Macaca mulatta: one gene and its partner. The protein of the gene in region 1 binds, or shares a complex with, the protein of each later gene. Links are inferred from orthologs where the notes say so. Each region holds a gene or a part of one and is shown on either strand. Other genes may lie near its edges.

Region 1 (3,808 bases):
AATCTAAAATCTGATTATGGCACCTTCCCAGTAGTCTCCAACTATTATTAATAGTAACATATTGATCTTTTGTGAAAAACAGAACTGTTTAACATAGTTTACAAATGCCATGAATAATCTCAAAGTAGATTTCCAGCCTTAAACTTTACTTTTCTCCTTATCACAGTCAGCTATACTGAACGTTTTTCAGTCCCTAAGCATATGCACATACTGTTCTCTCTGACCTGAATACTCTTTGCTTCTCCTTCCACCCCTGCACCAGTTCACCTATATAGTAATTTCTGTTCATCCTCAGGCTTCAGCTGCAGAGCCTTCTCTGACCACTCTCCCCATCCACAAGTCTAGGTTAAATACCTCTCATCTGTGCCCATGTAGCACTCTATACTTGCCAGTGTTACAGTTCTTATTAGACTATACTGGCTGAACTTGATGATTAATATGTCTGTATCGTGCATTTTATAATAAGATCTGTTAATAATAGCAGCAGCAGTAACTAATTTATTGAGCACTTATACTTTATATATAACCCAGGTACTGTGCAAAGTGAATATCACTTTATTTTACAAATGAGAAAAACCAGCCAAAGAGATGAAATACCCAAAGCAAACAGTTAATAAATAGCCAAATCAGAATTCTCCCAAGTCTTTCTGACTAGGCCCAGGCTTCTAACCACTATACTATGTTGCCTCCTCCGAACTGTTTTTATGGTTTAACATTGTGTCTACAGCACCTCAGCACACTGATCAGCAGGTAGTAGGCATTTAATAAATGTCAACTCAATGAATGAATGATTGGTAAAACCAATATGAGGAAATAAAGACTTGAAGGTAGATTTTAAAGTATGAATTAATTCATCATCATGGTGGTGTTTAATGGGGAAAGTCCTAGTGGGTTGATGACTTTTTAAAACTCAAAAGAAGTAGAAGCAATGGAGGCATGGGCCAGAAGATTGACTCTGAGGAGAAGAGTAGTGACAAAAAAGACACATATGGTAAGAATGTTTGGTGACAATCTTATTGTTACCAATAGTGACTGATTATCATTAATAAAAACATATTACTTCCCTGCTTTCAACACCTTCTGTATCTGGTATTTACACTGAAATAGCCAAATGGGAGTTTAAGGATGGAAAGTATTAAACCTATTTATATAGGTACGTCTCCTTGGAACATTGGCCAAGTAGAATAGTTTTCCTTTGGTGCTTCTTCCACATCTAGCCTTAGTTATTCAGATTGGATAGATGATATTTGTAGCCATTTTTTAGATGACTGTGTAGGTTAAAAAATATGTGTGTAAGCTTGGTGTCGTGGCTTATGCCTGTAATTCTAGCATTTTGGGAAGCTGAAACAGGAGGATCAGTTGAGGCCAGGAGTTCAAGACCAGCCCGGGCAACATAGCAAGACTGTGTGTCAATTAAAAACAAAAAAGAAAAAATTTAAGAAAAAAAAATGTGTTAACTAATCTGGGGAACAAGCTGTCCCATGGATAATTTTTTTTTTTTTTTTTTTTTGAGACAGGATCTTGCTCTGTCACCTAGGCTGGAGTGCAGTGGCATGATCACTGCTCACTGCAACCTTGACCTCCCAGGCTCAAGTGATCCCCCCCACCTCAGCCTCCCAAGTAGCTGGGACTACAGGTGTGTGCCACTACACCTGGCTAACTTTTTAATTTTTTTGTAGAGACAAGGTCTCACTCTGTTGCCCAGATGGGTCTTGAACTCCTGGGCTCAAGCGGTCCTCCTGCCTCAGCCTCCCAAACTGCTGAGATTATAGGTGTGAGCCACTGCACCCAGCCAAATTCTATTTTTGCAGAATAATCAATTTCCTTTTAGCCTAAATTTAGAGAGCATTTAACATGGCATTTGTTTTATGAAATCAATTTATGTTATCTTCTTTCTAACAAAGCAAATAAACTCTAAACATGGGGTTATTATGTTCATCCAGGAGCATTTCATACTACTGAAGCTGAAGCTAGTTCTCAGAGTTTGACTCAGATATATGCCTTACCTGAAATTCCTCAAGATCAAAATGCTGCAGAATCGTGGGAAACCTTAGAAGCGGTATGTTAAAAATATTTTCTTTTTGGTAGTTGTGAGGCATAAAAGTAACTTCCTCTCCCTTTCTTTTAAAGGACTTAATTGAACTTAGCCAACTGGTCACTGACTTCTCTCTCCTAGTGAACGTAAGTATATAACTGTTTTGGATGCAGAATTGTTGGATTATTAGAATGAGAAGCTTTTATAATCACTAGGCTTTTAATTAGAATTTTAATAGAACTTAGACTTTTAAAAACTGGTATTAAGCCATAGATAGAAGTTTAACTGCTCTCAAATTCCAGATTAATTCAATAAACTTATATTAAGCATTTGTTATATACAAGCACTGTGTTAGATGCTTAACATTGAGGGTGTGATCAGGTTGGATATAGAAATAAATGAAGCCCATTCTCTGCCTTTGAAGATTCTTTTTTTTTCTTTGAGACGGAGTCTCACTCTGTCGCCCAGGCTGGAATGCAGTGGCATGGTCTTGGCTCACTGCAACCTCGGCCTCCTGGATTCAAGTGATTTGCCTGCCTCAGCCTCCTGAGTAGCTGGGATTACAGGCACATGCCACCATGCCCAGCTAGTTTTTGTATTTTTGGTAAAGACGGGGTTTCACCATGTTGGTCTGGCTGGTCTCGAACTGACATCATGATCCACCTGCCTCAGCCTCGCAAAGTGCTGGGATTACAGGTGTGAGTCACCACGCCCCGCCTCCTTTGAGCATTCTACAGTGAGTGGAGATAGGCCTGGACCCCAGAAACTGAGCTTTCAAGCATGATGGCTAAATGCAAAAGCAAGAATGAAGAGAGGTATTATCAGCTCCAAGGAAAAGCCTTTAATTCCAAAGGAAGGAGGCAGGAGTCATGAGGTGGAAGCATTAAAGATAGCTTCACACAGGTAGACAGTATTTGTTTGAGCCTTGAAAAATGAGTAAATGTCCACAGGGGGAAGTTATGGAGTATATTTGAGAGGCTGAACAAAGACATGGAGTAGAGAAGTGTATGGCATGTTCCAGAACGGTAAGTACTGCAGTATAACCAAAGCCTAAGGCACCATGGGCAAGCAAGGTGGGTGAGGGCCGGATTGTGGTGGCTTTGAATGCCATGCTAAAGAATTTGAACTTTACTTTGTAGGCATTAAAAAGCCTAATACTGATTCTTGAGCAGGTTAGAGTCATGAAATTCAGTCTGTGCTTCAGAAAGATCACTGTTGGCTTTGTGAATAATGGCCTAAGAGAAGAGGAGGTCATGGAAAGGAAGACTGGTTAGGAATCAATTGCAAGAGTTCACCTGGAGCAATGACAATACCAGTGTAAAGGTAAAGGACAGCTGAGAGATATTTCTGGGAGAAGTATTAGCAGAAATTGGAGGAAGATGGAGTCAAAGATAAGGAACATTGTCTTTATTCTGCATAATTGGGTGTCAGTGATACTATTAACATAGATTAGGAAGCACAAAGTCAATTTGGTGGGAAAGATAGATTTTCCATCATTTTTCTGAATTGTTCTTATTTGTCTTTCCCAGGAGTTTCTGCTTGCAGTTCTCTCTAGGTTTAGTTCTTTGTTCCTGATCAAACCATGATTTTGGGGTTGTTTATCTTTGAATTATGGTTTCCCTGAAATCTAGTTTTAAATGAGAAGTTCCTAGATCACACAATCAGAATTGGAATGGTAAAGGACTGAAGAGGCCAACCAGTCTAATCCCTCTACTCTTGCCCCAGTGTCTCAAATAAATGGTCTTTTAGCCTCTTTTGGAACAATTATAGCAC
Region 2 (4,282 bases), on another chromosome or scaffold:
TCTCAAAAAAAAAAAAAAAAAAAAATTGCTCTATCTTGCCTACCTTGACAAATGTACCTTCCTAAAAATCTGGAAGGCCAGGTTGAAATTTAGAATTCTCAGGATCCTAGGAGGTCTCCACCTAGATATGACTAGGGGTCCCCTTTCTCTTCTTACCCCTGCACTGTCATGCACACTGAGGGGTCCTTGACACCTGCTTACACCCAGGGGTACAACACTGGCAGCACAATCTGCCCTCCCAATCTGCCCTTGGGAGGGCAGATCCTGGGACTGAGGGATGCAGGCTCCAGGTGGGCACATCTCCCAGCTACAGGACTCCTTGCCCCATCGGGACTGCTGAGGCTGGAGGAGGGACCAGGACAGTACAGAGGGTTGGAAGTAAGGGAACTCCTCCTCCTCCATGCACTCTTCCCCATGCCCAGCAATTCGAGTTATAGACACTAAATTTCCTAGTGCTTGTCCAGGCATGGTGACTCAAGTCTGTAATCCCAGCACTTTGAGAGGCCAAGGTGGGTGGATCACCTGAGGTCAGGAGTTCGAGACCAGCCTGGCCAACATGGCAAAACTTCGTCTCTACTGAAAATACAAAAATTAGCCAGGTGTGGTGGTGCACACTGTAATCCCAGCTACTCAGGAGGCTGAGGCAAGAGAATCATTTGAACCCAGGAGGCGAAGGTTGAAGTGAGCCGAGATTGCACCACTCTAGCCTGGGCAACAGAGTGAGGCTCTATTAAAAAAAAAAAAAAAATTCCCGGGGCCATGCTCCCCAAATTAAGCTACAATTAAGCTACAGAAACAGGCAATGAGCCCCAGGGAGACAAGGGAGCAATACCCAAGAGCCAAGAGTTCACACAGGACTAAGAAAGCCAGAGCCAGCTTCCCAGCTGGACACAAAACCTGAGGCTCCAGACTTTGCTCAACTTTGGAGTTACTTCCTCCCTGAAACAGCTGGCCGCAGCCCCTGGCTGGAGAGAGAGAAGAATGAAGTCTAGCAAGATGTGTGGGAGATATTATTTTAGCCTTCATCTAGCAGGGGACCCTGGGATCAAAGCATTTCTCTGCTCTTTCCTCCTTCTTTTTAAAGCCAACTCAGCAAGATGCCAGCAATTTCCCACCCCTTGTCTAATAGCTCCTAGAGAAGGCTAGAGGCCACGGTGGGGGGGTTTCCTCAAAGCCAATACTTCTGCCCTGGGAAGGTCAGATCCAAATGATTGTCATGGGCAGGCTTCAAAGGGAAAACAAGTTTCCCGGGAGAGAAGCCTGAGAATGCATGGGCTGACTGAGCTATCAGTCTCAGAATATGCCTCTATGGGTGAGCTGCCACCTCAAGCCCCAGTCATGGGATCCATTCCCTGGGATCCATAACAATCTGTGGAGCAGAGCAGATTCAGAAGTGGAGACTCAGCTCACATCAGCTCCCAAACCAGGTGAAAGGCAACAGAAATGTTACACTTCTGACCCTCCTGTTCATTTTGCCCCACCAAAAAGAAATTCCCTCCCTTCCTCTTTTCCTCCAGCCTCCAGTGGGCTCCCTGTCTCACTGTGGCTTCCAGATCCTCTGTCTTGTTGCGGAGATGTTCCAAGTTTTCCCCTCGGGCCAGGATCCGCTCCACATTCTGGGTCATAATATTCTTAACTCCCTCCACCTCACTCTGCAGGTTCCGCACGCGATCATTTCCTCCACCTTCACTGGCTTCCTCCTGCACAGCAACACGGGGTTAATTAGACCAAGTGGTGGGGGAACTGGAGACTTGGCCTCAGAGGCCTGGGGAGGGTAAGGCCTCAGGCAGACTTCAGCTTTTTGTAAAATGCTTGAAATGTTTACAAAGAGAATGTTTTCATGTATTACTTGTGTAATCAAAAATAAATGCATTTGTAAGCCTCAGAAGGTAAGACGTGATGCTAAAGAGACTAGATCAAACTTCTTTCGGGATTGTTAGGACCCCTGACAAGGAAAAGCAGCGCATCACTAAATCCCTCCCCGCTGCTTCCTTGCTCCCTAGAGAAGGCCGTAGAATACAGCAGAGCCAGCATCTCACAATGTTCCCTTTCCAGGGCAGAGCCCACCACTATTTACAATTCCCGGAGCCACCCCCCTTTCCTGATTTCTCGGGATCCTCATTGAAAGTGTCTGTGCTGGCCAGCAAAACACCCTCACCCAGCCTCACCCATCTGCCCCTCTAAATACCTGCTGGAGCATGGCCCTGGCCGCAATGCCATTGCTGCTGTGACCCAGAACAACAGGCAACCAAGTACCCCAGAAGGCGCCCACAGCCGTTGAGCCACACACTTCTGCTTTCCCTACCACTGGGCACCACGCGCAGGCACCAAGCAACCACCTGCTTATGCAGACATTAAATAAAAATACCCGCCTGGGTGTTGGGGGAAATGGAGGACTAGTCCTCCCTGGCTGATGTCTCATCTCAGAGGCTTCATGACAAGGTTTTTGAACAAGGAGAGAAAAATATTATTAAGCTCCTCCCTCCTTGACCTCCAAAAACAGGCCAGTGGCATGGGTCAGAACTAGCTTATCACAGAGAACCAACTTCTGGTTATCTTATAAACCCTTAGTTCTCTTCTTCATGTTAATGGAGAAAGGACACCCAAAGGACTCAGTGGACACACAAATCCTTTGTGTTTCTGTGTAGGGATAAAGTGAAAGGCCAGAGAGGAGAGCTCCTGCCGCTGGGCTGGAATCTGAACTGGAAACTGCCCAGGCACTGCCTGGTGGTGTCACAACACCCGCCTCGGGCTCCCTGGAGGAGGAAGGCACAACAACACTTTGCCTGGAATTCGGAGCCCCCATTGGCACTGGCACGGAAGCCCAGCTCCCCACCAGCACAGAGGTCAGGGGAGGGAGGAAGAAGGAATAGAAACACCTGCTAGGACGGTTCAGAGCTATTTGCAGCCAAGTTGTCAAAGAGGAGAGGCCACAGGCAGCACTGGCCCAGCCCTCTAACTTTGCCGCCAACTCTCCTCCCCCCACACAGCCAACCCCCAGTCCCGAGCCCCTTCTGGCTCCTCTTTAAATCAGCCCTTTCCTAGTTTCCAGTTCGCTCACCATGTCTCAGAGCAGCCCAGGCCGATCAGCAGGTGAATTCGCCTAGTCGGCTTCCTCCCAGGGTGGCCGTCAGCTCACTTCCTGCTTGCTCCAGCTTTCAGCCTGCCCCCGCCCACCTCGCATCTCGAGTCGCTCCAGCCACACCTAACTCAGGTTTCCCCAGGTAGGCGGGCACTCTTCACTGTCCACCCAGTGGCTTCCCAAACAAGAGCTTAAGCTTAGAGTAATAGGGCTCTCAGATGTTAAAGGTCTTCTAACTTTTCAGGAATTAGAAAAGAAAGATCAAGCAGCCCTCCAAGGTTTCCTGAGGCTGGACCTCCTGATCTAAAAAGGGCAGCCATCTCTCTCTCTCTCTTTTTTTTTTTTTTTTAAATAGAGATGAGGTCTCACCATGTTGCCCAGGCTGGTCTCAAACTCCTGGGCTCAGACAATCCTTCCACCTCAACCTCCCAAAGTCCTAGGAGCCATGACGCCCCACCAGCCATCTCCTTTTAATGTCTTGAATATCTGACTCCAGTTTCTAGAGACAGAGATCAACCATGCCAGGCCTGGCTCACAGGGAAACAAAATGCAGTTATGAAAATTTCTTGCTGGATAACACTTGTTCTCAGGTCCCTCAGTGACAGAAAGCACTAAAACCCCTGAAGTCTGGAATACTGTGATCCTGGGCTCTGATTCAGAAAGCTCTGGGTTACTAGTTACAGGCCCCTGAGTGAACCTTTTCACCTCTGTGGAGTTTGCAGGTGCTGATGCTTAGCTCAGACAGTGCTGGTAAGAAGCAAAAAGAGGCTGGGCATGGTAGCTCACGCCTGTAATCCCAGTACTTTGGGAGGCCAAGGCAGGCAGATCACTTGAGGTCAGGAGTTCGAGACCAGCCTGGCCAACATGGCAAAACCCCGTCTCTACTAAAAATACAAAATAATTAGCCAGGCATGGTGGCAGGTGCCTGTAATCCCAGCTACTCAGGAGGCTGAGGCGGGAGAATCGCTTGAACCTGGGAGACAGAGATTGCAGTGAGCTAAGACTATGCCATTGCACTCCAGCCTGGGCAACAAGAGCAAGACTCTGTCTCAAAAAAAAAAAAAAAGATAGCGTGTGCAGTGCACTGCCACTAGCACAGTGTCTGTAATGAGGGCTCACCAAACCCCTCCTTCCCTTCCAGAGTTCAGCAATTCTGCATTTCCCTTCAGGGACCACCACAGAGGTAATTGATCCCAGTCA

The links.
Region 2: the proteins of STX17 (region 1) and VAMP8 are in contact, whole or in part, in a crystal structure (PDB 7BV6), measured with the Homo sapiens proteins. The link is inferred for Macaca mulatta from reciprocal best matches to the Homo sapiens genes STX17 and VAMP8. Residues at the interface, in NP_060389.2 of Homo sapiens: Ser171, Trp172, Thr174, Leu175, Asp178, Leu179, Glu181, Leu182, Leu185, Val186, Phe189, Leu192, Val193, Gln196, Glu198, Lys199, Ile200, Ser202, Ile203, His206, Val207, Ser209, Ala210, Asn213, Val214, Glu216, Gly217, Thr218, Asn220, Leu221; in NP_003752.2 of Homo sapiens: Gly9, Val13, Leu16, Gln17, Val20, Glu21, Val23, Lys24, Met27, Thr28, Asn30, Val31, Ile34, Leu35, Arg37, Gly38, Leu41, Glu42, Leu44, Arg45, Thr48, Glu49, Leu51, Glu52, Ser55, Glu56, Phe58, Lys59, Ser62, Gln63.

Annotation. Positions count from the first base shown.
Region 1 is NC_133420.1:58,439,404-58,443,211, reverse strand, and holds part of STX17 (syntaxin-17), read left to right. Parts: intron 1-1,943; coding exon 1,944-2,059; intron 2,060-2,130; coding exon 2,131-2,181; intron 2,182-3,808. UniProt on the Homo sapiens protein: SNAREs, soluble N-ethylmaleimide-sensitive factor-attachment protein receptors, are essential proteins for fusion of cellular membranes.
Region 2 is NC_133418.1:38,814,257-38,818,538, forward strand, and holds the start of VAMP8 (vesicle-associated membrane protein 8), read right to left. Parts: upstream 3,081-4,282; 5' UTR 3,065-3,080; coding exon 3,062-3,064; intron 1,701-3,061; coding exon 1,542-1,700; intron 1-1,541. UniProt on the Homo sapiens protein: SNAREs, soluble N-ethylmaleimide-sensitive factor-attachment protein receptors, are essential proteins for fusion of cellular membranes.